4 linked regions of the Astyanax mexicanus genome follow. The protein of the gene in region 3 purifies or fractionates together with the protein of the main gene of each other region. This does not show direct contact. Links are inferred from orthologs where the notes say so. Each region holds a gene or a part of one and is shown on either strand. Other genes may lie near its edges. The genes, in order: tssc4, znhit2, eftud2 and bcas2.

The links.
Region 1: the proteins of eftud2 (region 3) and tssc4 purify together in Homo sapiens (affinity purification with mass spectrometry; 4 studies listed by BioGRID and IntAct, counting the BioPlex papers as one, with this or other methods). This does not show direct contact. The link is inferred for Astyanax mexicanus from reciprocal best matches to the Homo sapiens genes EFTUD2 and TSSC4.
Region 2: the proteins of eftud2 (region 3) and znhit2 purify together in Homo sapiens (affinity purification with mass spectrometry; 4 studies listed by BioGRID and IntAct, with this or other methods). This does not show direct contact. The link is inferred for Astyanax mexicanus from reciprocal best matches to the Homo sapiens genes EFTUD2 and ZNHIT2.
Region 4: the proteins of eftud2 (region 3) and bcas2 purify together in Homo sapiens (affinity purification with mass spectrometry; 3 studies listed by BioGRID and IntAct, with this or other methods). This does not show direct contact. The link is inferred for Astyanax mexicanus from reciprocal best matches to the Homo sapiens genes EFTUD2 and BCAS2.

Annotation. Positions count from the first base shown.
Region 1 is NC_064430.1:8,174,783-8,182,729, forward strand, and holds the start of tssc4 (protein TSSC4), read left to right. Parts: upstream 1-4,927; 5' UTR 4,928-5,028; intron 5,029-7,786; exon of another isoform or gene 7,787-7,788; 5' UTR 7,789-7,841; coding exon 7,842-7,915; exon of another isoform or gene 7,916-7,932; intron 7,933-7,947. Other genes in the region: anoctamin-5, read right to left, coding at 1,410-1,485. UniProt on the Homo sapiens protein: Protein associated with the U5 snRNP, during its maturation and its post-splicing recycling and which is required for spliceosomal tri-snRNP complex assembly in the nucleus.
Region 2 is NC_064427.1:14,889,948-14,897,583, forward strand, and holds the start of znhit2 (zinc finger HIT domain-containing protein 2), read right to left. Parts: upstream 3,013-7,636; 5' UTR 2,913-3,012; exon of another isoform or gene 2,810-2,912; intron 2,604-2,809; exon of another isoform or gene 2,514-2,603; intron 2,499-2,513; exon of another isoform or gene 1,946-2,498; intron 1,243-1,945; 5' UTR 1,218-1,242; coding exon 1-1,217. Other genes in the region: mrpl49 (mitochondrial ribosomal protein L49), read right to left, coding at 3,219-3,365, 3,572-3,696, 4,319-4,466, 4,861-4,971. UniProt on the Homo sapiens protein: May act as a bridging factor mediating the interaction between the R2TP/Prefoldin-like (R2TP/PFDL) complex and U5 small nuclear ribonucleoprotein (U5 snRNP).
Region 3 is NC_064426.1:27,201,367-27,208,869, forward strand, and holds the start of eftud2 (116 kDa U5 small nuclear ribonucleoprotein component), read left to right. Parts: upstream 1-4,499; 5' UTR 4,500-4,644; intron 4,645-5,646; 5' UTR 5,647-5,685; coding exon 5,686-5,787; intron 5,788-5,971; coding exon 5,972-6,155; intron 6,156-6,410; coding exon 6,411-6,489; intron 6,490-7,503. UniProt on the Homo sapiens protein: Required for pre-mRNA splicing as component of the spliceosome, including pre-catalytic, catalytic and post-catalytic spliceosomal complexes. Component of the U5 snRNP and the U4/U6-U5 tri-snRNP complex, a building block of the spliceosome.
Region 4 is NC_064419.1:2,129,350-2,136,532, reverse strand, and holds the start of bcas2 (pre-mRNA-splicing factor SPF27), read right to left. Parts: upstream 3,009-7,183; 5' UTR 2,919-3,008; coding exon 2,826-2,918; intron 1,920-2,825; coding exon 1,827-1,919; intron 1,657-1,826; coding exon 1,586-1,656; intron 1,139-1,585; coding exon 977-1,138; intron 869-976; coding exon 818-868; intron 1-817. Other genes in the region: dennd2c (DENN domain-containing protein 2C), read right to left, coding at 5,782-5,813, 5,899-5,985, 6,261-6,506. UniProt on the Homo sapiens protein: Required for pre-mRNA splicing as component of the activated spliceosome. Component of the PRP19-CDC5L complex that forms an integral part of the spliceosome and is required for activating pre-mRNA splicing.

The sequences.
Region 1 (7,947 bases), on a different chromosome or scaffold from region 3:
CTAGTGTTAAATGAAAGGTACTAAAAGATATTTCATTCAAAACAATGAGATCAAAAGGTAGGAAACCCCTCCTCAGAGAGTTTAGCCACAAACTACCAGACTACTGTTACTTTCAGACACTGTAAGGGATTGTGAGCTAACCTGGCTCAGTCCTAAAATTAAAAATATGAAAAGCTATTTCATCAAACCCACCAAATTTAAACGGTAGGACACTAAAAATGTTTAAATGTTAAGTAAATGGGAAAATATTGATAAAATACTTTAATATCTTTCAGCATTTTATAATATTTAGACCATAAAACCACTTCAGATATCTACATGTTGGTGTAAACAAGAGAAAACAACAACAAACAAGTACAATAAACAAGTAAACCTAGAGAACAACAGTGAAAAGACGTTTAATGCTAGTCTGCAGAATCCTAGTGTTAAATAAAAACCCAAATAAGTTCAAATGGTAGAAAACTAAACATGTTTCAAATAATAAGCGGTTGGGAAAATATTAACAAAACACTTTAATATCTACATAATTTGCGTAAACTTAATGTCTTTATCTTATAAACATGATTATTAACATGATTCTATTAGTATTTTACTCTATTTATGACCATATTAACACATTAGATGTCTACATGTTTGTGTTAAAAATACAAAATCACAACAAACTAGCACAACAAGTAAACCTGGAGAACAACAGTGTGTAAAGAGGTTTAATGCTAGTCTGCAGAATTCTAGTGTTACATGAAAAACCCAGTTCAAAGTTCAAATGGTAGGAAACTAAACATGTTTTGAATGTCTTTATCTTATAAATATGATCATTAATATGATTCTATTAGCATTTTATAATAGTTTGACCAAAAAAAAAACACATCAGATATCTACATGTTTGTGTTAAAAATACAAAACCAACACCAACAAGTACAACAAACAAGCAAACCTGGAGAACAACAGAGTGTAAAGAGGTTTAAATAAAAAGCACTGAAAGCCATTTCATTCAAAACAATGAGATGAAAAGGTAGGAAACCCCTATCCAGAGAGTTTAACCACAAACTAACAGACTGAACTTTCAGACACTGTTTAAGCTTGTGAGCTAGCCTAGCACGATGTACAGGTATTTAAGGTATTTAAAGCTATCTATCTATCTATCTAGCTAGCTAGCTTTCTATCTTAGTTTTAGTGGGCTTCTAACCAAAACCAGCCTTACTGTAGTCCAGTCTATTGCTTAATCTAACCACAGGAGGTCATTTAATCTAATTAAACGTGTCATAAATACAGGAGACTGTCTGTTTTCACCACAAAGCGTCTCTCTCACACGAGCCAGTCCATTCTCTCCGCTCAGACTGGTGTAAATCAGTGTATCAGAGCCGGGGTTTATTATTATGTAGAAGGGTGTTTGGTAAAGCAGGGTTTACCTTCTACATGCGCGTCCGCCGTGTTGGTCATCTCGATCAGAGTGGCATCTTTGGTTTTCCCCGTTATTCTCTTCATTTTCACTGAATATTCCTCTGATAAAAGGCAGGGTTACTGGATCCAGGGCTTCTCCTGGTTGATAAAGGGTTGAACGCGCTCCCTATAGTCCTTAAAGATTCCTACAATCCATTCAGTCCATGCTGAAGCTGCTGAAAGCTCCTCCAGCTGTGCGCAGGAAATCCTCCTGAGATCGAGCAGCGACCGGATTGTGGCTCATACAGAAGAATAGGGAGCGATGTTGGCCTTAAAGGGGAGTGGCTGAGGAGTGGGGGGAGCTACTTTACGTCGGCATACGTGTGTGTGTAAATATGAGGAGGTGTGTGTGTATGAGGAGGTGTGTGTATGGAAGGTTAAATTATGTGCCAAAGATTTTACACAAAATAATAAAATATGCATAACAAATATCTGTATATTATTATATTTGTATGTAATAAAATACAATGTATATTTTCTTTTATCATTAATAAAAAAACATACATTGCTGTGATCTCTATTGTATTTTTATCCCAAATCTCCGTCTCAGCTTATCAGGTTAAGATCATGGGATTGTGGAGGCCAAACACTTTTCAGTTTTACTGTTTACTACATAATTACATATACAGCTCTGAAAAAATTAGAAACTCTTCAGTTTCTGAATCAGTTTCTCTGATATGTGTCTAAGTAAAATGAACATTGTTGTTTTATTCTATAAACTACAGACAACATTTCTCCCAAATTCCAATGAAAAATATTGTCATTTAAAGCATTTATTTGCCATATTTGGCCTCAAATAATGCAAAGAAAACAAGTTCGTTTACATAAAGTTTTGTAAGTTTTAAAGTTCAGAAATCAATATTTGATGAAATAACCCTGGTTTTAATCACTGTTTTAATGCATGGTATTGTGGCGGCTCTGGGTTGTGTGTGTGGCTGCCTGTAGGCATGGTTCTGTTCTCCTGTGTGCAAGGATGACAGGGGTGGGGCATCTCCCTTGGGAGGGGTTATGCAGAGAGGGTGGGCACCACTCTGGATCTGCCATCTGGGAGACACACAGCTGGGTTGGTGGCCTTTGGGCTATTTGAGTTCTGTGGGAAAATGGTTTTAGCTCTCCTAGTCTTGTTAAAGGCTGTAAGTGAGTGGCAAGCCGGTTCAATAAAGGAGCTGTTGAGCGTTCAGCATGAGTCTCACGGGTCTTCCTTCCTCTTCCACGCCACAGTATGTTCTCCTCCACCAGTTTTACACACTGCTTTTAAATAACTCCATGCCACTCCTGATGCAAAAATTTAAGCAGTTCAGCTTGGTGTGATGGCTTGTGATCATCCATCTTCCTCTTTATTATATTCCAGAGGTATTCAATTTGGTAAAATCTATGAAACCTATGCTTTCATGCATTTCCAAACATGGCAGAATAACACGTTTCCAAACCAGTAAACTGAACTGCAAATTTTTGGGCTGTAATTTCAATGACAATACTGTAACATACTGTAACAGTAATATATTCCCTAGCTCTCTCCATGCAAATCACAGTAAAGCAAAAAAAATGTTCCTGCATTTTATCTTGGAATATATTTTTATATTTTACAGTTAGTCTTGTACATTGAATTTGTTGTCTACAAATTGAAAAAAAAAAATAATAATAATAAAATAATAATAATAATTAATATATTTCACTTATATAGAGATTTATTCAGACAAATACACAAAGAAAATACAGTAAAACTATACTTTTTTTCACCAGTGTGCATTTATAATTAGGCAGGTGTGTTTACAGTACCAGTGGAGAAGCCTATACCCCATGTGACCCAGCTGTGATAGATAATTTAAAAGCACATGCTCTTGCAGATCACATCCCTTTAGCACTTTAGCATTATAGCCTCTGCATCACATCTGCTCACATCCCCTCTCAAATCTAAAGCAGCCTAGGGCTTTTCTTTAATGAAGACTTAAAGGAATGATATCTCACTAAACAGCTGGAACAGCTGGCAAACAACAGCTCCAGTGACTGTGAAGAACGGGCAGTGTCTCCCCCTGCTGCATAGAAACCCGCAGTACATGACAGAGGCGCTCCCTGTACCGACCGACCAGTAGTGATGGCAAAAATGGTCCTAGATCTTTTCTGAGACCCTTTTTTATAAATATATATCTTATATAAGAAAGGTCTTTTGACTTGATAAAACACAGTGGATCAACACCAGCAGATGACATGTCTCTCCAAACCATCACTGATTGGTGGAAACTTCACACTAGACCTCAAGCAGCTTGCACTGTGTGTCTCTCCCCTCTTCCTCCAGAATCTGCTCGCTTTTACATTTCATTTACAAATGAAATGTAAAAATTACTGATGATCTGTGATGGTTTGGAGAGACATCTCATCTGCTAGTGTTGGTCTAAAGTCAGTGCCTTTTTCCCCTCAGAAAATCGTACATTTTATGAAGATGGGGATTTCATTTTCCAGCAGGACTTCCAGCACACTTTCCTAGCTGACAAAAGTACAAATTAGTCTTATATAATATTCAAATTTTCTGAGACACTGATTAATGGGTTTTTATTGGCTATAAGCCATAATCTTCAAAAATAAAAATAACCTCTTAAAATAGATCACTCTGTGTGTAATACATCTATATAATATATTAACATCCTTTAACATCTGTAAGAAGCTTCTGTAGATGTTCTACCAATCAATCGTGGCCAGTATTCTCTTCTATGCTGTGGTGTGCTGGGGAGGCAACATGAAGAGGAGAGATGCATCACGGTTGGACAAGCTAGTCAGGAGGGCCGGGGCAGTGGTTGGAATGGAGCTGGACTCTCTGGTTACAATAGCTGAGAGAAGGACTTTGGATAAACTGCTTTCTATCATGAACAATGATAGTTACCCACTTCACACCACCATCATGAAGCAGAGGAGTGTGTTCAGTGGCAGACTGCTGTCACAGAGCTGCACAACAGACAGACTTAGAAAATCCTTCGTTCCGAGAGCCATCAGACTCTTTAACTCCTCTCATCGGGGACGGGATGCTGCTGCCGACTGAGTTTAATCCAGTCACACCACATGGACATTATTCAACCACTTAATTATTTACACTAACACTTCCCCAACCTCACTTACATTCAAGTACACTTTACTCATGATTGAGTATTCACATTTTCACATTCTTTTTTTCTTTTTTAGAACTATCTTCTAACGGATGCATATATATATTTCTACGTCACATCAGTCACTTTCGTAATCAATGTCATTGCACATTGCACTTTACTCTGCACTGCTCCTTTTACAGATAGATCCTTACCTTGTATAGTTAGGTTTTTATAGCCTTATATAATTTCTATTCTTCTGTGTTTTGATTTGTCTGAGTCTTATCTATCTATCTATCTATCTATCTATCTATCTATCTATCTATCTATCTATCTATCTATCTATCTATCTATCTATCTATCTATCTATTAGTATTTTACATGTTTATACTGAAATAAGGTAACTTTTCAGTGATATTTAATTCTTTTGAGATGCACAGGTGTGTCTGTTGTGGGCCAGTAGAGGTCAGTACGCGACTGTGAGTTGATCTGAAGACACGAAGAAGGAAAGGTAAGCGTAGCTGCTGAGCTAGATATGGGAGAAAGTAACGTCTTATATTGGGATTAAACTCCTTTATATAGCTGAGTTATTGCTCTCTGAGTAAAGTTGCTATCTTGGTTCTGTCCGGCAGTTGGAAAGACATAGATTAGTGGTCTGAATTATACCAGAAATCGATATATATACATACAGCTAGCTTAGCTGTTAGCCTCCAGCATAGCTAACTTAGCTAGCTTAGTCAGATAACTAAGTAACTTACATGCTGTGAAGGATAGTGAGGTTAGCAGGTTAGATAACTAACCTACTGCCGTTAAATACTAGATATAGACATTTCTTGTCCATTTTAATTGTGTTTTTGTGTGTTTGTATTGACTAAGCGTATACCTTTTTCTATTCCATTTAATGTTTTCCTCAGATTTGCCTTAATATAGCTGTAGTGATAACTACAAGTAACGTTAACTTAGATGTTTTTGTTGACTAGGAAAGAGCTGGTGTTGTGTCGCGTTGTGCTACCCTGATAAACCGTGCTACCCAAGTGAATATTAACAGGCAAAAAAAAAAACACCACATTAAAAAATGCTCCCGGTGTTCTGTCGAGATGTGCTACCAACCAATTTGTGCTTCTTACAACCATTGCGCATGCGTATGCCCACATTTTTAAAAATAGTTTTCTTTTTTTGTGTTTTTATGTTAAATCTGTTTTACTTTGTCGCATTTAATAAGCAGAACCAGCTGCCAGAGTGTTACACACGTGTAAAGTTAATAATAAAGCTAATAAAGTTAATCATACAAGTAATAATGAGACAATAAATAACAAAAAAAGAAACTGTTGTTCCCTGTTAACTGTTCCCTTCAGGCATTCCAAATATCCTACCAAAACTTCTGCTGGGAGCTTTTCAAAAAACTGTGCCTTTCTGGTATTTTAACAAAATACCAGAAATAATAAATAAATAACAAAAAAAAGAAACTGTTGTTCCCTGTTAACTGTTCCCTTCAGGCATTCCAAATATCTAGGGCTGGCCCGAATAGCGTTTTTTTGAGCTCCGGATATTCGGCACTGATTCGAAGCGAATATTCGAATATTCGTTTTTAAAAAAAGAGGTAAAAAAAAATAAATAAAAAAAAAGCAAATCACGGCCCCTTTAATCCACTGAAAAATGTTCAATTTGCTCTGACCGACGAGACATATTCACCCCGGATTTTTGGTGTTTTTATCCCCCATATTTTTTCTGTGTTTTTAGCTCAGATTTCTTTGTGTTTTCATCCCGGAATTTCTGCTGCCCCACACGCGGCTTATCCGCTGCGTAAGCAGGCTAGGAGGCTGCTGCACGGTTTCTCCGCTGTGCAAGCCAGCCCAGTAAATTGCTGTTTGTGTTTTCACACTTAGGCTATTTGCTTAAAAAAACAAACAAAAAAAACGTTTGTTCAGGAAGTATTTTATATTCTTAAACATTGGTAATTATATTAGAGGACAGTCATTGTAAACTGTACTTGGTCTATTTCGGTTAAAGGATTGTGCAGGGCATATTACTGATTTTGTATTTTTGCACTTGGGCTATAAGCTCAATATTAAATATTTCGTTTGTTTAGAAATTATTTTATATTTTAAACCATGTTAAATTATATTAGAGTAGAGGAAAGTCATTGTTAATGACGTTATTGTACTTGGTCTATTTCGGTTTAAGCATTGTGCAGGGCATAGCCGTATTACTGATTTTGTATTTTTGCACTTGGGCTATAAGCTCAATATTAAATATTTCGTTTGCTTAGAAATTATTTTATATTTTTAAACCATTTTAAATTATATTAGATAAGAGGAAATTCGTTCAGACATCATTTTTGTAGGCCAGGCTTTTGTAACCGATTTAGCCCCTACTGTTGCCACATTACCCCTTACGTTTTATTATATAAATCAGTTTCGAAGAGCCTGCATTTTTTTTTATCATGTATAATAGAGGTCTGCGCGAGACTGATTTTTAAACCCACTCTTCCACGCTCCCGCGTTTCTGTCTCGTTACCGCTCCGCAAAAAAATTGCTTCTTTTAATCCCGCGCCCGCCCGCCACATAGTGCGGTCCCGTTCCTTACCCCAGTCCAAACACCATCGGTGTGTGCGTGTGTGTGTCGGTCCATCCTGCGCGTTGAGAGTTTTCTTTAGGTTTTTTTTTTTTTTTACAATTATTACAGTTTTCTTAACTATTTATTAATTTGCTCCCGCATCGTCTGGATTAAACTCCCGCTCCAGCCAATAACAGTTCAGTTCTGTCCCGCGCGCAAGATATTCTGACGGGACCCGCGAAAACAGAAGTGGTTAGAGTGAGGTGGAACTCTGGAAAGGAGAAAAAAAACGAATATCCGAATACCAAAATTAAAAACCGAATACCTACTCAACGAACGAATATCCGAATACCCGAATATTCGGGTCCAGCCCTACAAATATCCTACCAAAACTTCTGCTGGGAGCTTTTCAAAAAACTGTGCCTTTCTGGTATTTTATCCTAATATAAAAATAAGTATAAACTAAGGTAGCACCTTTTCACAGAGTAGCACAACTCGGCAGAACACCGGTAGGAGTCTATGTTAATATCCTGAAAGGCTATATCACTGTATCGGGCATAGGATAGAATCAATTTTTCAACTTTTTTTTTTTTTTTTAGTTTCTAAATATAATTTTACTACTTGGATACTTTAGGGGTTTTATTCAAAGTGGTTAACTAATCCTTTAAATGTGTTTTTTTTTTTTTTTTTTTTTTTTGTTACCTTCATATCTTAGGTAGTGTCTGCATCGTATCCTCACATCCAAGAACTGGCTCACAACTCAACACTATGGCTGTGCTGAGACTCGATGGCTCTTCCCAGAAAGTGATAATCTTTTCCGAGCAGGAAATCTCGCAGAATCTGTGAGTCTTCAACCCCAGTAAGATACCAGCGT
Region 2 (7,636 bases), on a different chromosome or scaffold from region 3:
GTGTCCAGACTCTCAGAAATCTCCAAAACTGTTCGGCAAAAGTCCAGCATTTGCTCTGACTCAGAAATGTCTCCATTAAACAGACAAAGAGAAAAGGCATAGCCGTAAAGGGTGTTGACCATGCTGAACTGGACTAGAGGGGAGTGGCTGGAGGACAGTTTGTGAAGGGGCAGGATTTTAGTACTGATAAGTGGAGCAGAGTTTGGGCCGCCTTTTTTTTTGGACAAAACGTTCTGTTTTTTAAGACCCTGTCTGACTTGGGGTGGGCACTGGTCTGTTTGAACTGGTTGTAAATTGTTCATCTGTGTTTCCTTATTTGCATTTTGACCTGTGAAACCCTGTCCTCCCTTCTGGTCACTCAGTTGTGCCTCATCCTTCTCTGACTGTAGTTCCTCTACAAATGATTTGGTGGTCTGTTCATGTCTTTCCCACCAGGGCCTCCACAGTGGCACCAAGCCTGCGATACCTCCTGCCATCACAAGGCGCTCAAACTGCTCCTTGTCCTGGGATGGCAGAAGATCCCAGAGCTCCTCTTCTGTTAGAGAGTTAATATTCACCCCTGAAAGCTTACATGCAAGAGTCTCATCTTTTTCTTCTTCTTCTTCTTCTTCTTCTTCTTCACTGTGAGGACCTTCTTCCATGTTTTTTAGTTTCTGCAGTATTTCCTGAACCTCCTTTTCCTCCTTTCCGCTGGCCTGTAGTTTTGCCAGTCTGGTCAGCAACTCCAGTGCCACAAAATCTTTTTCTGTCACATCTTCCCTGCTCTCCTCCTTTTCACATTTTAACACATTTTCCAGCCCCCCGCTCACAGCAGCACTGCTCTTCAGCCTCAGGAGGATCTCCTGCATCTGAGCTCGCCCTTCGTCCCCTGTGACATCAGAGCACTTCAACTCCTCGGACACGAATTCCTTATAGAACTCCTCCGAACACGCTGAATGAGCTGGGCCACGGTAGCAGCTGAGTCCACAGTACGGGACATTACACCTGGGACAGGTGTAGCAACAGGATTTGGATAAGCAGAGTCCGCAAAGTCTGGAGGCCACCATGTCTGTTCCAGCTGGACTCAGCAGAGCTTCAGATGCAGTCTGAAAGGGTCCTGTTACAGGGTCGGGTTCCCCCTCTTCCCAGTCTCTCAGCTCTTCCTTCTCTGGAGTCATGTCAATCATAAATGTCTGCATACTCGCAGGAACTCTCCCTCTAATCATCTTTTCCATCATACACTTATCTTGCAGCAGCTACTACCTGCAAAAAAGTAGAAACAGTTACAAAAACATTCAATCAAACTCATCACATTTCATTAAAAATTGATTGCAGCTTTGTTCACTTAATTATTAATCATTTAATTATTACACCCACAAACGTTTGGATTTTATAATTGCCTTCGTTAGTTTTCAGGTCAATGAAAACGGTGCTTTTAGAAAATGCCTTTCAAAGTGGAGATTTTGAAACTTCACCATCAGTGGGGGTGTGTGGACAGGGTAAGTTCAGTTTTATGAATATGCGAACATCACAGTGAGTCAGTGATGTCTGTTCAGAATGAGGCTAAATGTGGACAGTGCCTTAATAGTTGTTGTTTTTTTTTTGTCTTTGTGATTTGCAGATTAATAACATGTTTACAGGTCTAACGGAGCACTGTTCAATCAATCATGCAAAAACAGAAGGACCCAACAGCTCACACAAGGAGAAGCAGCTAAGAGACCTATGGTCACTCTGGTGAAACTGCGGAGATTCACAGAGAAGTTGGAAAAAATCTGTGCACAAAACAACTATTGGTTGTTTACTCCAATCTGGTCTTTATGAAAAAGTTTTTTTTAAAGAAAGCCTCTATGAGAAATACAGAACAATTCTCCAAAAAACATTCTAGCCTTACAATACAGCCAGAGTTTCAGTGCAATGGTTCAGATCAAACAATAGTTATCTGTTAGAACGGCCAAAAAGTCCTGACCTTAATCCTATTGAGCATCTGTGGCAATACATGAAACGTCCTGTTCACATACGCTCTCTATCCACCTGGCTGAGCTTGAACGGTTTTGCAAAGAAAAGCAAAAAAAAAAGTCACTAGACGCGCAAAAGACCTGCAGCTGTAATTTGCAGCGAAAGATAATCCTACAAGTATTGACAAGATGTATTGTTTTTACTTCACTTCACAACTACGTGCTAATGCGGAAACACTGAATTTACTCTCAAGACCCTCAATAAATCATTTAACCAAAGGGTCAACATATCAAGAATACAACAAATCAAAATTAGATTTACAGTGGAAGCACAAATAAAATCTGTAACGTTTATTTGTTAACAATTGTTCTGTAGTCTCTCTTACTCTCGTTTCATTTTAGCTAATGTTATCTCTGAAATTGTCCATTCTACCATAATCGGCATTTAAGATACCAGACAAGTCTGAGACCAATTGAAGCCACCCATATTTTTGCTTTACTTCACCACCACGTTCCACTACAAACAGCAGTATTCCGCCTTTAATACAGGAATTGTACAGTTTATTGTTTATCACTCACGCGCTGCTTCTGCTCCCGGGCGAAAGGCTCGCGATGATGACGTACACAAAACGCGCTGCCTTCACGAGCTTCATGCGGCGTTACATTTACGCAGCCGTAACGGCAAACAGTAAATAAACCAGCCTTCTCTAAGTATACATTCAGTTAATAATCCACTTTCTACAGTCAATATTTAATTATTTACTGATATGCCTCTAATACTAAAATACATGATTATAATAGTAATTACATGTTTGCATATTTGTTTGTTGTATTATATACAATTAATAAGTATAGCTTAATCACATCAAGCACAGTTAATAATAATACACAAGTTTTTTTTATCTTTATTTCAAGTTTTAATTTATTTACACATTTCAGACAAGAAATACATTACAAAAACAAGTGAGAAATATTCACCTTTGCTCCACTGGCAGATCAGCTGGTATTAACTGTAGGGGTGGACAGTGCAATTACTGTGAGAAGTGAACCACAATAAACATTACTGACTAAATGGCTGATACGGTCAGCACTTAATGAGCATAATTAACTCTAATCAGATTTAATGCACCTCAGCATCCAGATTTCATTAAAATATATATATTTACATTGTTAAATGTGGCACTGCAAGTAATAAACATGTCGGAATTCTCCTCATACAGTTTTAGCCATTTTTTTGTCCATCCTAAATTACCAGTAAACACAACATTGCAGATTTTCAGCACTTTAAAACCCCTTTTTCACCAGCCACTCCTTCAGCTCTGTGTCAAACTCCCCTTTAATGCGAATGCTCCCGGTGACTTCATTAACTTGTGTTGGTGGCTCTCTGCCAGTCAGCTGCTGCAGATACTTCTTTACATCTTTATCCAAAGCCTGAAAAACAAACTGAGCTCATAAACAAAAGCTTTCGGCATAGAGGGGGATAGCATCCCTACCTTTAAGGCAGCAAATCAGAACTCCATAGAGTAAGGTTAAAAAAACAATTAGTTTATTTATAAGGAATAAAGAGGTTGACAGAAAAAAATCATTATGACCCTTTAATTGGAGCATGGAGGACAAAATATACACACTTAACTCACCCAGATGTCTCCTTCCACTTTTCGTACAATAGTGCTCTTCTGGTTTCCATGTTTGATATCTGAGTAGACAGGAACATTGTGCATTCTGGAGCGTCGGATCATGTATGGCAGATTTGGTGGTGTCTCTTTTTTAAACAAAAAAAAAGAAAAGACATATTTTAATTGTTGTGTGCAATGTTAACCTTTGTCTACACTGAACCCCCCAGATGAAGAGCAGCTGCTAACTGTCCAAGTTGTTTTTTCCCCACTTTGATCAAGCTGATCATACTAAAGTTTGAGTACTAAAGTGAAAAAGCTTTCTCTAGCTTTATCTTGCTATTCAAGCTGGTCACACTGATAGTACAGCTCAATCAAGACTGTTATAAAATAATATCATGATATTCTGTGTATTATTGCAATGACAATACTCTTGACAATAACAAAACAATTAAAAAATATTTAACTAATTTCAAAAATTCGTTTTACAAACGTGTAAATTTAGTATTTTTGTTTAACAACAAAACTCAATTTATGTAACAAAAAAGGTACCAAAATACTACATTACAGAACATTTAGTGGATATATATTGCACTAAACTGCAATTATACAAAAATTCTAGTAAAATTTCGAAGTAAATATTAAAATAGATACAAAATAACCTGTTTCAAGACAGAGCATCACTATATGGATTGTTTTATCATTCCAGTCATGCCAATCAACTAGTCACTCTGCCACAACTGTACCGACCACCAGGACACACCGCTTTACCTGATGGAGGGGTCCATCCTGATGGTGTAGGCCCTTCATGTTTAGGTGGGGTAGGGACCCGTGTCGGGGGAATCAGCCTCTCCACGAATTTATACTCCTCTGTAGATTCAACTACTTTTCCCTTTCCACCAACATTGCTGTGCTCTGACTGAAAAACAGATAAACAATCATAACGGAGAACATGGAGAAACCGAACAACCAGGGCACTGAACATGTCCATAAGCGCTTTTTTCATTACATAAATAAATATAAATCACATCGATCTACCTACAATGATTGCCAGCCTAAAGAAAACTCATCCACATGGTCTTTGTTTCAGCACTTAATATGATTTTACGTGTAAAATCATATTATATCAATAATTAAAAATGTCCTCAATCGGTTATCGAGGCACACAAACATTTTTCTATTTGAATTTTCCGTTCCACCTTAAATGCTGCAGCAGGAACATTTTAAGGTAGAACAGATCTCGAGTTTTACCGGACAAGCGGCACAACAACCACACAACATAATATGCATGTAAGTTATAAAATCTAACTCACCTGCACACAGGCTCCAACATTAACCACATATCTAACTGGAAGGCCAATTCTTCTTCTAAAGGAACACCCCGGACTCAAAGTCATAAGCACGCTTCTAAAGGACGCCGCCATCTTTCCCGACTCACGCTGAGAGAGAGCGGATTTTATTTCTCACCCGTTTTCATACAGACCCAGACATGTTGGAATACGGGTGGGAAAACACCGAAACGACACAGATTAGTTACTTTTTATTAAACTCGTATACACATATTTATATAGTAAATAAAGGTGAAGTCTTTACTTCACCAAAAACACCACTTGTCCAGGATATTTCTGTTTTCTTTCTAAAATGAGTTTTTAGCCGTTGAGTTCCATTCACCTCGGATCATTGAGGACTCACTCGCGGGCTCCCTCTGGCGTTTGTTTTGTGCATTATGGAACCAGACGCTACAAACTTACAAATCATGAGGTTTTTGTTGGATTTTATCAACATGTTATTTAAAATATGTTGTTCAAATGAGTATCTTAGATTTGGTAATGAATATTTCAGTCTCTCTCCATTCAAACAGACAGGAGGGTCTTGTATATGCGGAAGAATTTTAGCCGCAGAATTAACTGATAAAGACTTTGGCCTTTATTGTTATTGAATCTGTTTCGGTGAGTTTGTTTATTAAGTTATTTATTAATAATTAATTTAAAATAATAATTGTAATTTAATTGATTGAAAGTGAAAAAAAAAACAGGTTTAAAAGCTAAAGTCTTCATTAATAAATGGCTAGATAATAAAAGAACATTGAATCAAAGTACATTTTTCCATCGCTAATGCATTAAAACAATGTTGATCTTAGATGTCAGAATCGGCACAGTATACTAGCAGGCTAGCGGTGGGTTTAAACCGGCTGTCAAACTCTGGGCTATCACATTTTAGTTTATTATCCTTCCTCTTTACAGATGATCATTAAAGTATTCAAAGAGTCTGGGCTGGTGATGTAGAGCAGTGTTTGTAACTTTTGTATTTGATTAAAGAATTCAATAGATCTTCCTTTGTTTTCTGTACTTAATTCTTAGCTAAATTATTATTAAATGAGAGATCAGCACAGATTTACAGTATATTTACCTGCAGGAACTGGCCGTTCATTCATTGTTCGTCTTTTGTTTAAAAAGAGAAAATATTTATGTTTCAGTTAACTAATTAAATAACTCTCATTTGTTCACACACAAAAATTTTTTAACTAAACAAAAGAACAAATGATAGAACAGGAAGATTTTACAAAATAACATACCTTGAACCTTAGCTTTGGAATACTTTGTAGATTTGAATCGAAGACAGAAGGTGTGCTCAGAATTGCACTTCGAAGTTTTGACAACATGGTGGACTCCATATAAATCATATGGCTGACCCTTGTGGAAGCTTTAAAAACAAAATCCTCAAAGGAGGATCCTACTGCTGTCCCAATTATTCACAGCAGCAGTAAGAGCAAAAACTGTCCCTGTCCTGTTGCTACTGTCCCGCGACACTCTCCTACTGTCCCGAGACACTCTCCTACTGTCCCGCGACACTCACCTACTGTCCCGCGACACTCTCCTACTGTCCCGCGACACTCACCTACTGTCCCGAGACACTCTCCTACTGTCCCGCGACACTCACCTACTGTCCCGCGACACTCTCCTACTGTCCCGCGACACTCTCCTACTGTCTCGCGACACTCACCTACTGTCCCGAGACACTCTCCTACTGTCTTGCGACACTCTCCTACTGTCCTGCAGAGCTCTTTAACTGTACCGTGGAGGTTTTTAACTGTACCGTGGAGGTTTTTAACTGTACCGTGGAGGTTTTTATCTGTACCGTGGAGGTTTTTAACTGTACCGTGGAGGTTTTTTAACTGTACCGCGGAGTTTTTTTTAACTGTACCGCGGAGGTTTTTAACTGTTTTAACTGTCCTGCAGAGCTTTTTAACTGTCCTGTGGAGCTTTTAACTGTGCCGCAATGTGATACATTGTGTCTTATCTTAGTTTTTTTGAGACGACTTAAGACTTATGAGATAATTCCCCTAGATTTGACCATCAAATCTATTATATAATATTTCCAGTGTCATAATACAAAATATCAAATATCAAAAATAGTATGACTTTAAATTAATAACTAATATGGACACAGGTAACGACCTTGTTCATGTCTGCACACACATTACATGTGTATTTAGCCTAATCTCACAGTTATCACACTCATATATCTCTTTTATATTCTATATCACATTCTGGTATAATTATATTTTTTATTATTCATTTTTTTCTGATGTGTGTGTACTTATGTGTGTCTGTATATAAGTTCCTGGAACAGTCTAATTAATATATATATATATTTTTTGCTATATTCTCGTTTATTATTGTTTATCTACATTCTATTAAAGTCTAAATTAGTCTAAATTAAGTCTAAAAGTCTAAATTTTAGTTAAAGCATTTGCACAGCATTTTGCTTATTTTTTTCTTGGTAAATTTTCTTTAAAAATAATCAATAAAATCTAGGTGTTTGCGTTACACTTAAATTCATAAATCAGTCATCATAAATCACCATCATGAAAAAAAACGTATGTGCTTGTTTTGGGCTCTGAATTACTTAAATAATGTAAAATATCATTTCAATTGCTGATATTTAGATTTTTGCAGTGTAGGTATGAAACGATTTCAGTGACACCGTTTAATTTGTGGTCTTTTGATAGAGCCTATTCTATTGCTTATTACACTGTTTTTCAATCCTGGTCTTTAAGGGCCACTGCCCTGCACATTTTATTAATTG
Region 3 (7,503 bases):
TTCCTGGTGGGGTGTTTGGTACAGGGCCTCTGGGAAAGTGAATCTTTCATAGCCCACAGTAAAGAAGACCCCTCACTCGCTCTCAAAAGAATGTGCACACACACAAACACACACACACACACACACACACACACACACACACACACAGGAAATAAACATGAGATGCATGAGGACATGAGATGATATTCCACCCAGTGGAATCATAGATTTATTGGAAGTCCATGTAAATATATGGGCGTTATGAGAATCTCTCTCTCTCTCTCTCTCTCTCTCTCTCTCTCTCTCTCTCTCTGTCTGTCTGTCTGTCTGTCTGTCTACTTGTCAGTCAGTCTGTCTGTCTCTCTCTCTCTCTCTCAAAGTCAAAGTTTCTTAGGTCACCTAGGTCATATAAATGGAGTAAACTACTTGTATTTATAAATTTGCAATATAACTTAATTCATTTTAGATTAAAAATAACACATTTTTTAATTTGTAATAGTGTACTAATGTAGCAAATTCTCATTGTAGGCTGCAAAATTTAGATTTTTTAAATCTGAAGTGGTAAAGCATTTACAAAAGATAGAGGGAGTGCAAGAGAACATAAAAATAATATTACATTATTTTATTTTACAATAATATAAAAAAGAGAACAAATTTGAGCACAACTAACGTAAGACTTACAGTAGAATAACATTACAAATAAAATAAGGGGAAAATAAGGTAAACAAAAAATGTATAAATGTATATAAAACAAAACAGATAAAAACACAGATTTTAAAACATGAGAACAAGAATATATAACAAAAAATCAAAAATAAATATATCGATTAAATAATAAACAAAATGACAACTACTAAATAAAAGTAATAAATACAACAAAAAATAAAATAAAAATAGCTGATTAATAATACAATTTAAAGATCTTCAAAATGATGAGTGAAATCTTTGCTTCATCTTTAATAATTAGTCAGGATGCAAACAACACATTTTTGAACACTAAACATTTTTAGTGTAGCCTACTTTGATGAGATGATCATTTACATAATATTACAAAGGCCATCATTATATAAATGATTGAAAATGTACACATTTGTTGTGCAGTTCTAATGTAAATTAATACACTTCTTCTAATTAGAGTAAAAAGCATATGTGCTCAGTCTCCATTTCTCTACTGATTACTATAATGATAATCCTAAATCATATTGCATAACACTGCTTTTCTCATTCAGTTAGGATCATTCTGTCTTGTCTCCAGGCATAAGAGATAAGCATAGCATCATTGGTAGATACAGCTAACACCCCTTTATTACATACATTATTTATAATAAAAGCATCTGTATGGGTCTTTGGAGTGAAGCCATATGCAGAAAAAACTATTTTCCACAGATTTCAACAGATTTTCAAGTCAGAATCCAGTCAGACTGTTAAATGTCAGGGACATCAGTCATATCAGTCGAGTGATGTTTATTTTATGATGTGAAGCCCTTAGCTTTTAGCAATCTGCTAAGCTATTTATAGTGTTCAGACTGTGTTCACTGACTGAACTTTGAGACAATTAGCTTAAATAACATACTGTGTTTATTACTAAACAATATACCATCAGACATTGCTCATGCTGCCTTGCCATAAGTACACTGGACAGTGTTAAGCCTCAATCACCAGATAAATCCTCACAGTTTATACAGGTGTGGGCATTCTGAAGCCATTCCCTGAGGTAACACTTTCGGCCCTATTTTAGCGATGTATTGGCAAGCCGTCAATTGCACACTGTGCAGCTTAATTTAGGGCTTGTCAATGTGTCTTTGCTATCGTAACGTCGGGAAAAGTATGCCTTCTGCAGCTCAAAATGTGGAAAAGGCATGTGTTAATTGTTTTAATTAATCATGGATCTGTTTTGGGAAAGAAACCAAATAGCATGACCCGAACTCTTGCATGGCAAGCATTTTTTATGTCTCTTTTATTCGGGTTAATTGGCACCAGATTAGTGCAAAAACAGAGAATTATCTTTGCATGATGGAGTTTCTGGAAAAAATAAAAAATAAAAGATGTCCACATATGAGGACTTTAGTTTTATATTTGGATAGAACACAATGTTGCACTTAGTAATGATGTGCAAAACATTTATTTTGTGCCCAGAAGTGCAAAACCAAAGTAGAATCAATTGTGCCTCTTTGAGCAGTATGGCTCATTTAAAGTGCTGCTTCAACACAAAGACATAAAGTAAAAATCATAACATTTACTGTATTTACTGTTCATTTTCAATTTCTGAACAATATCACAACTGTAACGTGTTAAACTCTTCTGCCACCACTAGGAGGAGTATAATGGTCTCAAAAGAGGAAAGCAGGCCCTTGTAGAGTAAAATTTAGTGTTGTGGTCTAGACAACCCAATATGTGATGTCCACACATGCAAATGTCAGGTCCTAGGAGGTAAAATATGTTAAAATGATGGAATTCTTTGCCTATAAGGCAATGTCTTAAACCCGTCTTTCTGTTTGTACGTCCATGTCTCTGTCTGTCTGTCTTTCACTGCCACTGTCTGTCCCTGTCAGTGTTTCTCTATCAGTCTGTTGCCTGACTGACAGTTTTCCGGTCTTATCTTCAGGCTTTTCTCAGTTTTGATCTGGTGTTAATTAAATATGTTAATTCAGACGTCCATTGAAAGCCTTTATATACATGAACAAGCATCTGAAATAGTCTGAAGCCTGTTTTTTGATGTCTCTCCTTCAACCTCCCACCAACCTCACTTCCAACAGCAACACACACACACACACACACACACACTCTTTAAAGATCAAATTCATTTTTTTCTCTCTGAAGACGGGTGACTTTAAAGTTTATTGATTTTGGGGTAAAATAAAAAATGAAATCTGCCTGCATTGCTCTTCAAAAGATTCTCCATGTCGTCATTCCAAAAACCTCAGGTCAGGTCATGCCTGTGTGCTGCATGTAGGCCTGTATTTCTGCGGCTATTTTTAGATGTATTCAATTTACTAGGTATGTGTTAGGCTGAACTCTCCATTCATTTTAAATGAATGGCCTCAAAGAAATGCCTACAATGTTTTATAGGTCTGTTTTGCTGACCCATATTATAAATAGAGAATATACAATAATAGAATCAGTTATTACAGAACAGTGTGTTACAGGGGTGATACAGATTCACTGTAGACACTGCATAAAAAAACATTATTTTTTCCCACTTGAAAAATCACTTGTTGTTGAAAAAGCACTTTACAGCATGTGCTTAAAATACACGAGTATCCAGTAGGTGACAATTGGGTAAATAAGAGTGAGTTAAGTGTGTTAAAGTGTCTGAAGTGGAGCCAGTGTCAAAATGTAGCCGACCATTTACAGTAAACGCTTTCATGTTCATATTTATGTGCCTGCCCATGTGGAGGGCATTGGTGTTAGCCATTATTTTATCAAATAAAAGTGTTTTAAACACTTGCCAAAGAGTATCCAAATGGTGGAATTTCATTTAATCAATGTGAAATACAGGTACAGATTTAGAGTTGATATTCCACAGACTTGTTTACTAGGCAGAATATTATTTCAGTAATTAGCACTCCAGGGTTAGCATGCTGCTAACTGCACTTTGTAACTCTTGCGAGAACTGTAAAATGCTGTAACCTGAGACATTTTAGCTTAAAAACGTGTAATATTACTCCAACGCCTCAGTCCACATGCTATTTTCACTTTAGAGGCTAGTTCTGTTTCTTTCACCTTGTCAACAAATGCATATTTAAAGCACAAAAAACTGCATTAACAGCATCGAGAAAAACCTGAAATACACTCCTTACCTGTAGGCGGAGCCAAGATCCACACAAAAAAATAAGATAAAACATAAGATAAAATTATTCATTAAAATAAGTATTAGTAAAAGAAAAAAAAGCTAAAAGCTGTAAATAAAAACCAGGGTTATTCCACCAAATATTGATTTCTGGACTCTTAAAACTTGACTGAATATGAACTTGCTTTCTTTGCATTATTTGTGGTCTGAAAGCTCTGTCTCTTATTTGTTATTTCAGCTATTTCTCATTTTCTGCAAATAAATGCTCTAATGCTCTTTATTTGGAATTTGGGAGAAATGTTGTCCGTAGTTTATAGAATAAAACAACAGTGTTCACTTTACTCAAACATATACCTATAAATAGCACAATCAGAGAAACTGATTCAGAAACTGAAGTGGTCTCTTAATATTTTCCAGAGCTGTATATCGGGGCTGGTGTAATGGTGTGTAAGGGCGCCTTCTTCAGGCCTCTTAAGTTACTGCAATGTAATATTTTAGCTTTGCATTCTGTTTTTTGCCTCTTTTTGCCTGATTCTGTGTAAGCGGCTAGAAACGCTTAAACACTTAAACCCTTTACCTTGGTGTAAACCGCACAGTATGACCGTATAATCGTGTTGTTTCTTTATATCCACGGCTGTGTTTAATGTTTAGAAAACCGCTGCACGAATAAACATGTGCTGTATTTGAATTCAGGCACATTACGGGATACCTGTATTCGCCGCGACGTCAGTAACGTTCGCCTTACGTTTCGGTTGTGCGAGGACCCGGCGGTGTGCAGCCTGGTAACAGTGCGAGGGAAAAATAAATAAATCAGTGAACAAATAAAGCGGATTGTACTGTTTCCGGAGTGAAACAGAGGCTTCGGTTAATCGCAGGTAAAGTCTATGCTGTCCGTTTGAGATCTGAGTGTGAATTTGAGCGTAATCAAGTGGAGAAGCTTTAGATGATCTGATATTAAACCCGAACCCATTCATTCACATGGGCTGAGCCTGAGCACGAGCTGCGTTACCTGGATTTAACGGTGTAGATAGACCGGTCAAATTCGAGCAGAGCCTCGTACATACAGTTTTTTTTATAAGCCGGTTAAATTGAGGGAGGTTTGGGTATTTTTTTAAACTAGCTAGGCTAGCTGAGCGTTGTTTGCTTGCTATAGCTAAGTTAGCTTAGCTTAGCTGAAGGCTGTGTTCCCATTGGCGCCCTTGTGTTGTGTTTACTAGTAAATTAGGCTGCTAAATAGCCCAGAAGTTTAACACTGGTTCGTGTGTTTTATACAAAGACAGGGTGGTGACGATGCAAGTCGCAGAAATTATGGGATGCACGAAATCCCTAATGCTGTCCATACACTACACGACTTTGAAAAGACTCTGAAAAGACTTTTAACAGACTGAAGTCTGACACCCTCTCGCACATACATACATGCATACATGATGTGTTTTGCTACAACCTTGTATTGTAAAGAATCATAGTTTCACTGCTATACATTTGCCTTTGTTTTAGATTAAAATTAGATTGAAATTGTGAAATTGCTTGAAAATCATTAGGTGTAAGGTGGTAGGATTAGTTCTAATTCTGATATTATCTTGTAGCTTGATGATCCTTGCCTTCTTTTTTTCCCTTCTCAGTTCAAAGGTTGTTTTCACTTAGAATGCTGCTTTTTGTAACTCATTTAATTAAATGCATTCATTTCTATGATTTGATGTGTATTAGCCTTGTTAGGCTAACTATATTTGAAATAAGCTTCTGGATCCAAGCTGAAAGGATTTTATACTTGATTTCAAGTATAAAAGTAGAACAATAAAACCAAAGTGTTTATTGTAGCTGGTAATCTGCACACTAAGAGTATTCATTTAATCTCTCTCTTTCAATATTGCTGCCAGAGGTGCTGTTGACACCCCATCGCACAAGGCCGCAACATCATGGAGACGGATCTGTATGATGAGTTTGGTAACTACATCGGGCCAGAGCTGGACTCTGATGAAGATGAAGATGTAGATGCAGAAGACCGGGATGCAGATGAGGTAAACAGCTCAAATAAACTTTGTGCGTAATAATCTATTTACAGGGCTGTTTATCTGTGTATTTGTTGCTTTTAATATTTTAGCACACATCGAGTTTGATTTGAGTTTGAGTTGCTTTCTGTTCCAACTTGGTATTTCCTTTATTTTGGCAATGTGTGTATAATTTAATGTGTGGTTTCTGCAGGCAGATGAAGATGACGATGATGATGACCAGGTGGAGGGGGATGAAGATGGTGGTGGTGGTGGTGGTGGTGGTGGGATGGAGGTGGTGCTTCACGAGGATAAAAAGTACTACCCTACTGCAGAAGAAGTGTACGGGCCGGAGGTAGAGACTATAGTCCAGGAAGAGGACACCCAGCCTCTCACTGGTAAAGGACTTTTTTTTTTTTTTTTTTTTTTTTTTTTTTTTCTATATGAGGTTCATTTTTTTACTTTCTTTTAAAATGTTCTGACATCAGCAAATAAAAAAAAATGTGATTGTAATGTGATGTGTTGTGTAGAATTTGTATTTAAAACAGTAAAACCTTAGTTATAAAAATTGTAGTCACTGATGCTGCATCTAAAACTGTTCTCCCTCTTACTTTCCCTCTCTGTCTGTCTGTTTCTTTCTCCTTCTCACATAGAGCCTATTATTAAACCTGTGAAAACAAAGCAGTTCACTCTTATGGAGCAGGAGTTGCCAGCTACAGTTTATGACATGGAGTAAGTCTTTGTTGCAGTCACACTTATTTAGTATTGGGGCATCTGCTCATTCATTGTGTCTTCTAAAATCAAGGGTATGAATCAAGTATTAGTCAAGTACAGGATATTTTCCAGAGAATAGTTAAAGGTTATATATATATATAATATGTGAATTACATATGTAATATTTATATCTCACATTTTTAGTCTATTTTAATATACCTTTTCACTGAATATATGATACATTGTTACAATGTAAAGTAGTTTGTAGTGCTGGAAAATGAAAACTGATATGGACTTTTTACATACCACCATACCGCTAGAGGCATTATGGAGCTGTGTAGAATAGCACCGCCAAAGAAACAGATACAGCTTGTTAGCTAAAGATAGCCAGTTAGCTTCACAATCTAACGCACTGGTGCGATGGTAGGTCTGCCCTGTGAAGTCAAACTTTATCTAAGGAGCTCCTGTTGCTGTTCGTTGCAATATGAGTGTTTCTATCTAAGTAAAATAGAAAAACAACATCAAAAAGCAATTATTCACTCAGAAGAAAGACAAATGGAGTTACACAATCAATTCACATCTTGTGAAAAAGTTCCTCTCATTGCCCAGAAAAGCCTAAAAACAGTCCTGAATGCAGAATCATTTATTCAGCACAAGTGTTAAAACTCCCTAAAATTCTGAATACGAGGTGCAAAAAAAGAAAAGAAAAAAACAGTGATATACCTTCAAACTCGCAGAGCTCCTCCATGGCATCACTTCAGAGCTGGGGGATGTTGGAGACCTTGCGCTCCTTCACCTTCCACCTTCTTGGCCAGTCGAGCATTTTTACCCTCAGTTTCTTTGATACCTTGTATCAAAGTGTCATATCATTCCCATGAAAAGATATAATTAGGTATTTACAAAAATAAGGGGGGTGTTCTCACTTGTTGCAATTTAGGTCAATAAGAGTCTGGTCAGGGTTGAGTGAAAGCTGAATGAAACATAGTACAGAGATTAATGAAAACCTGATCCAAAGTGCTCTGGACCTCTGAC
Region 4 (7,183 bases), on a different chromosome or scaffold from region 3:
CCATATAATCCCCAGAGAAAAGCACTGCAGCACAACACTGTGTATTAATTATAGTTTACAGTTTATTAAACACTATATAAACAAACAGTGTTTTAATAAACATATATGTGCACTTTTAAAGCTCTCATTGCCTCATTTTAAATGTAGAGCCCTCAGAATTCTATCAGTGAAGTGTGGAGCTACTTTGATCTTGGTTAAGGTTGTAAATAGTGATTTTTTTTTTTTGCACAGGCAGATGCTATGCCCCTATTCCTAGCATTGTGACCCTGGTGGGAGCATCTGCAAAAAGTGCTTTATTTCTCAATGCTGGGGATGATTGGAGGAAACCTATTTCATGCCAGATTCCTCATTAAATTTGCTTGAAATTTTATTTAGAATTAGAAATATCTGCTACATTTGAAATAAAAATAAAATATTTAAATAAAAATACAGAACAGAGATGGTATAAATTAGAAGATCAGAAACTGGATAAAATAAAAAAAAAAAGAGTTCATGCAACTACCAATATGGCATCTGTTTACAGATAAAGTCCCGCCCATCATTTTACTGGTTGGTGAAAAAGCTACCAAACATAAAAAAAAAAAAAAAAAAAAGCTATAAAACATTTTTTTGTGCATTATTATACCAAACGCTAGAAACTATTAATGAGATTTCTCTAATGCAATTTTTAATATATATTTATTTTTACCATTAAGTTGAGTATTTTAGTCTCTCCCCACTTATCCAGATCCAGTACCATTTTAAAGAAGATGGCCACCAAGTTAAACAGACTTTTCTATTAAAGATCATTTGTTCACACACACCAACAGTTACTTACCGAACCTTCTGCAGTTCCTTTTGTGCATTTTCAATCATGAAAGCCAAATTACTGTTAAACAGAAATAAGAGATGCAAATAAACATACAGTTTTACTTTATAAAAAAAAAACACAATAATTAAAACTAAAAGTCAAAAGCTACTACAGTTTAATACGTACTCATTAGAAAACTTCCAGGCGTTGGTTCCGTACTCGGCCATCAGATCAAGGTTTTCTATTCGCACGGCCTGATGCTCCAGCTGGGCCATCGAGTTATTCACACAATCCTGCCACGCTGTGATGTCATTCTTCTGTCCGGATGAGGGGGCTGGAAGCTCGTATCTGAAGTTACGTACATTAGGAGGCAGTGAGCCACAAAACTCAATAATAGCTGTGTTTCTGTTTTCATTTCTGCCTTTGCAGCGCCCCCTCAGGTTCAACTGTGCTACAGGCGAGAATTCCTCCTGCCCCACACCCCTAAACCCATACATCACCCAGTCCCTCTTTCGCAAACTACTCCTCCCTTTTTTTAAAAAGCCTTTTTATTAAATTTGAGAAGCAAAAGTTCACATACTTTTACCACTTACAAATAAGTATTAGTGAATAGTTTTTCTCAATAAAGATAAGAGAAAGTACTTTTTTCAGCTGTTTTTTGTATCAACTGAAGTTAAGAATTATTTTATAATAAATCTTTGGCACATTATCCAGCCCTATTTCAAAAATACCAATATATTTCACACAATATACTAAACCCACTGGTCTTTGTATCTGTTATTCAGGATCTCCTACCTCTTCATGCTGAGCAGCTCCATAGGTTGGCGAGCACCAAGCCTCTCAAACTCGTTCCTCATTATCTCAGTCTTTGGGTGCAGGAAAAAAAAAAATAAATAAAAATAATAACACTACTGAACATCTTATATCAATCAATCGATCGATCAATCAATTATGGATAATATTACTGAACACACAACCAGGTGAGTCACAGCCAAACTAGAATCTGTGAATAGAAACAGGATCAGGATCTATTTACCTCAAACGCAGAGAAATCAGGTGTTGGCAGGTAACTCAGGTAATTCTTTGTAGGCCGGTATCGCCGGGTCTCCTCCTCCACCAAGGCTGCAGCCTGGAAACAGAACATGTTCATCAGTTATAGAAGGATATAGTGTTATTGACTGTACAGGCTGTTATAATTTTTAGTAAATTAATCACAATTGCTGTTTTATTAGTACTTGTTTTTACTTTATAGGGGTGCAAAACTAGCATTTAATCTGTTATTTATTGTGGAATAATATGCAGCCTCGTTGATCTGGCTGTGTTAAACTTGGTACTACAATTCCCAGCATGCACTCACTGGAAATCCAACATAGAAAAATAAAGAAATACATTGATATTCAATCTATGATTTAAATCTTGAAAAATACCGTGATATATGATATATGATCATACCGCCCACCACTACAGCGTATATACAGAGTATATAACCGGTGGTTTAGAGGCTGTAACTCGGCTTTAGGAAGCGCAGCTCAGGCCGGTGTTCTGTCGAATTGTGCAACCATATCAAATCCTGCTACCCAAGTGTATATTTAACAGAAAATCCGTATTAGAGCTTGTTTTCAGTAGAAATTCCAGTAGATGTAGATTTAGTATATTTGAATAGCATAAATCACTTTATTATAATAAAGTTAAGGCAATGGGAGGTTATTATAAACTGGCTACTGTATTTATTATTATTAATTTTCGTTTACACTTTTATGAAATGAGTCAGTTCGTGTTGTTTAAAACACAAAAGACACGACAAAAACAGATTTATTATAATAAAAAACAGGAAAATTTATAATAACTCTAGGTCAGCGCATGCGCACTGCCTTTGGAAAGCAGGTATCGGCGAGTAGCGTAACTGGACGCAACACCGGGCTGTTGTTTAGGAGGGAGAACACGCTGCGTCTCCTCTAAACTCACAGATCCGCAGCCTGAATTAAACTAAACTAAACAGCCCCGGGTCTCCGTTACCGCCCCGCCCGGTACTCACCGCCTCCCGGACTCCCGGAGCGTCATAACCCTGATCAAAATACGGCAGCGCGTCCACGAACACCTCACCGGCTACCGACGAGGTTCCAGCCATGTTTCTCCCGCAGCGGCTCCAGCAGCAGCAGCGCGCAGCCGCCCGCCTGAGCCCTTCACCCCGCAGCGGAACCAGCGCCGCCCGCAGGCCTGGAGGAAAAACACCCATCCCAGCCAGAATATACCCTTCAACCTGAACCACAGAATCTCTTACAGAGAATTTCACTTAATATAAATGTTTTCTTTATTTTGGACAAGTTTTTATTCATACTTCTAAATTTACTAAAAAAAAAAATATTTTTTTACATGCTACTAGAATAAAATTCAACTGTATATCAAGTCCCAATTAATGAAATCTGAAAATGCGAAAAAAAAAAAAACTTTTTAAATTAAAAGAAAATTACCCCACTCATTTACATTATATTCAGGGTATTTAGCAGAAGCCCGTTTTTTACTTCAAAATATCCATAGCTAGTTTGTAGATATTAGAATCCAGAGATACACCAAGCTTTGATAATATTTATAATATTTAGACCCCCCATTGATGCTTTATTCTGTGAACTACAGACAACATTTATCCCAAATTCCATATAAAATATTGTCATTTAGAGCATTTATTTGCAGAAAATGATAAATGGCTGAAATACCAAAAAAGATTAAGAGCTTTCAGACCTCAAATAATGCAAAGAAAGTTCATATTTATAAAGTTTTAAGAGTTCAGAAATCAATATTTGGTGGAATAACCCTCGTTTTTAATCACAGTTTTTTTCATGCATCTTGACATCATGTTCTCCTCCTCCACCAGTCTTACACACTGCTTTTGGATAACTTTATGCTGCTTTACTCCTGGTGCAGAAATTCAAGCAGGTTTTCAATTTGGTAAAATCAAAGAAACGTATCATTTTTAAGTGCTCTCTTATTTTGTCAGTTTTATATTGTCTGTTTATTTTCAATAATTGTTTTATATAACAGTTCATTTATGATTAATTTTGTTCAGGAAAAAGAGAACAAAATATATAAATTTTGCCACCAGAGGGCGCTGACTGTACTTCCAGCATCATCATCTCACCAACCAATCAGCTCACAGTAGCAGTAATGCTCTTTGCTTTTTAAATACAATACTTTTCTACTGTCCTAAAATAAAGGAATATCCTGGAAAAGGGGTTAGTAACTATTTCTAATTTGAGTTTTTAGCCGTTTAGCTCCATTCACCCCCATATATTTGAGACTCTCTCGCGGGCTCCCTCTAGTGGTGTGCAGACAGGGAGTGGGCAGCCTCTCAGGTTTATGAGGATCCTGCCCTTATCATAAACTTTATACCAGGTTTTATATGAATAAACTTAAATTTTCAGGTAAAAAAACATATATTTTTTTGACTTTAAAAAAAGAGATGGAACACTATATTGAACTAACACCGCCCTTTTATAATCAATATATTCACCATTTTACAGTTATTTTACAATATTTTACTTATAAATGTTTACATATAATTAAGCACCATATATATACACAATTATAGTTTGTTTTAAAGCATTATTAACAGTACTGGATTCTTTAATATATTATTTCTTTCATATTATGTATCACCCATAGTTTATTTCTTCTTTTTAAAGGATTAATTGCTTATACATATTGCGTAGTTGTTTAGTTTTTTTAGTCAGCAGAATTACCAAGTCCATAAAGCTAGCTGGAAATTCTACAATTTGTGGCTTTAAAAATGTTAAATGCTAACGTTCTGTCTTTTCAATCAATATTTTTTAAATGTTAAATTAGAACTATTCTCTTAAACCATTGCTAAATTTTATACAGCAATAACAACAGCAATATGTTTTTGTGTTCCCTGAAAATCTGAGTTTAGGAAAGGTTTATTCACTACATAGGGAGCAAGTAATTGATTTGAGACACAGCCAGTGCTCGCGCATATGAAATGTTAATTACAATGCCTGAAGCCCTTACTTGCCAGTTTTGATTTGCCAGCTTTTCCAAAGCCTTTATCACACGTAAATCAGGCATTTACAGGAACTTCTGCATCAGCAAAAAGCTCCCACACACCAAATGACTAAATGATTACAGGAGGTTTTATATGAAAGCATTTAATTTGAAAAAGTCACAAAAGACAAAAAAAAAGCTCCTTGGTTATACAAAACACACATATAAAACTGTACAAAATGTCAAATATAAAAGCATTTTGAAATATGTCGTCGCAGACATTATACAACACAAACTTTTAGTTTGTTAAAAAGAAAAATAAGATAAAAGGATAATTAGAGACTTTTAAAAATCTATCGAGAAGCATAATCAGTGTGCCTCAGAGGAATTATAAATATACACAACTTCTGCAGGAGATGAGAAGCACCTCCTCATCTCAATCATTTATATTTATCTCTAAAAATAATACTTTCCAGTTTGGAAAGCAGTTGGGAGTAAAGAACGAGGAGTAAAATATAGAAAAAATGTAAAATAAAAATGTCCTGTTTTTTGAGAGTCACAGAAAAGACGAAGAAAGATCAGATCAGATCAGATCAGATCAGGGTTAGTGTGAAGAGAACTACTTCATTAGCTCACAGATCGACACAATCCGGCACAAACGACACGAATCCAAAGCTTTCTGCTTTACACAACAGTAACATGACACACACTCCTCCTCCTCCTCCCTTTCCTCCCGCTCTAATTCAGTCCTTCTTTGTTGCTTGTTTACAAAAGTCCATTTCCAGTTTTTCAACCGATTGAAATTGCACAGGCGCTCCCAGCAGGAGCGTTTTCAGGGCTCGACCTCTCGTCTCTCTCGTCTCTCCGCCCCTCTGATCGCTTCTTTTTCTCAGAGGAACGGGATCGCCGCAGCCTGATCGCTGAATCACAGCCTCCTGCGCCGGGTTTCGTCACTCGGCGCTCGACGCCGGCCTCCTTCTGCGTTAGGCAATCCCTCACTTCTTCTGCAAGAACTTCATTTTGTTCCCTAAAACACAGCAAACTGTCACACAGGGAGGAAAGAGGGGGAAATAATGCTTCCTTTTTTGGTGGAGGTGAAGACGCTATCTTACCGAGTCCCTTCAGGAATTTGTTGACTCCGCTGGGTTCGGGTTCGGGGCAGGAGGCGAGGTATTCTGCTGCTCTGACCTCAAACAGGCCTGTTAGAAACCCATAAACACATTAAACTAAAACACATTCAACTAAAAAAAAAAAAAAAAAAAGAACTCATGGAGACGTCTGACTCACAGACGTCTCCATGACCATATATATATATATATATATGTGCTGGGTTAGTAATGAAGATAAAACTAAACTAGCTCCTTAAGACCTTAAGAACACACCCAGGACCAATTCTTGGCTTGTTTGTGCTGCTTGCTGGTTTGTTTTCACACACAAGAACTTTTTTTCCCCAAACCCTGGATCACTCACTCACCCTTGACGCCCCCTTTGCGGAGTTCTCGGTCCTGGATGAAGCCAGCGAACATCTGTGTGTCCATGAAGAGCTGGAGGAACTGGCGGACCCTGCGGGACGGATGAGACTTCCTGAACGTGTCTCTGTTCAGCTCGCGGACGCCGCTGCTCGTCCCCGTCTCGCCAATGTGCAGAGAATAATGTCCCACCAGCTCCACGAAGAAACGCACAAACGCCTCCGACACCAGAGCACTCAGATCACACTCCACTGCAGGGAGAGAACAACAGGTTTAGGAAAAAACGGCAAAAAAAAATAATTTAAAACTAATTTAATCAATTTAAACTTTTTAAATTCAAAATTTATACAAATGTTAAAGACCTCAAGGGTTTTATAATGGAAAAAATCTCATTCTACACATAAAATAAAAATAAATAAATAAATAAATGGGAGAAAGAGGCAATTTATTATTTCAGAAGAGAAGAGGCTCAAAATATGTGATTTTCAACAAGTCCTATATATGCTGTGAATTTGGATAGAAAAGCTTGGTTCGTTTTTTTAATGACTCCACAACAAAAGATACATTTTACAGATCATTTTATTTGTCAACTAAGCTAATGATTATTAGTCAACGAATATTTCTGCCATGTCCTCCACCTCTAAAAACAATAGAAACAATAGAAACAGCTTAACATGAGATATTTAAAAGACATTTAATTCTCTAGATGTTGTTTAAACGTGGAAAGTACGGATATTTAGTGATTAAATATGTAATCTGTTGTGTTTGGGCACTTTTGGAGACCCATCTCCTAATTGTTGCAGACCTATTTTACAAAAAATGCAGAAAATAAGAGCTGGAGACTATGTGGGAACCAAATGGCTGATCACTGGCATTTATTCTGGTAATATGCAGTAATGCAGGGTTATTGGCTAGAGGTTTATAAAGC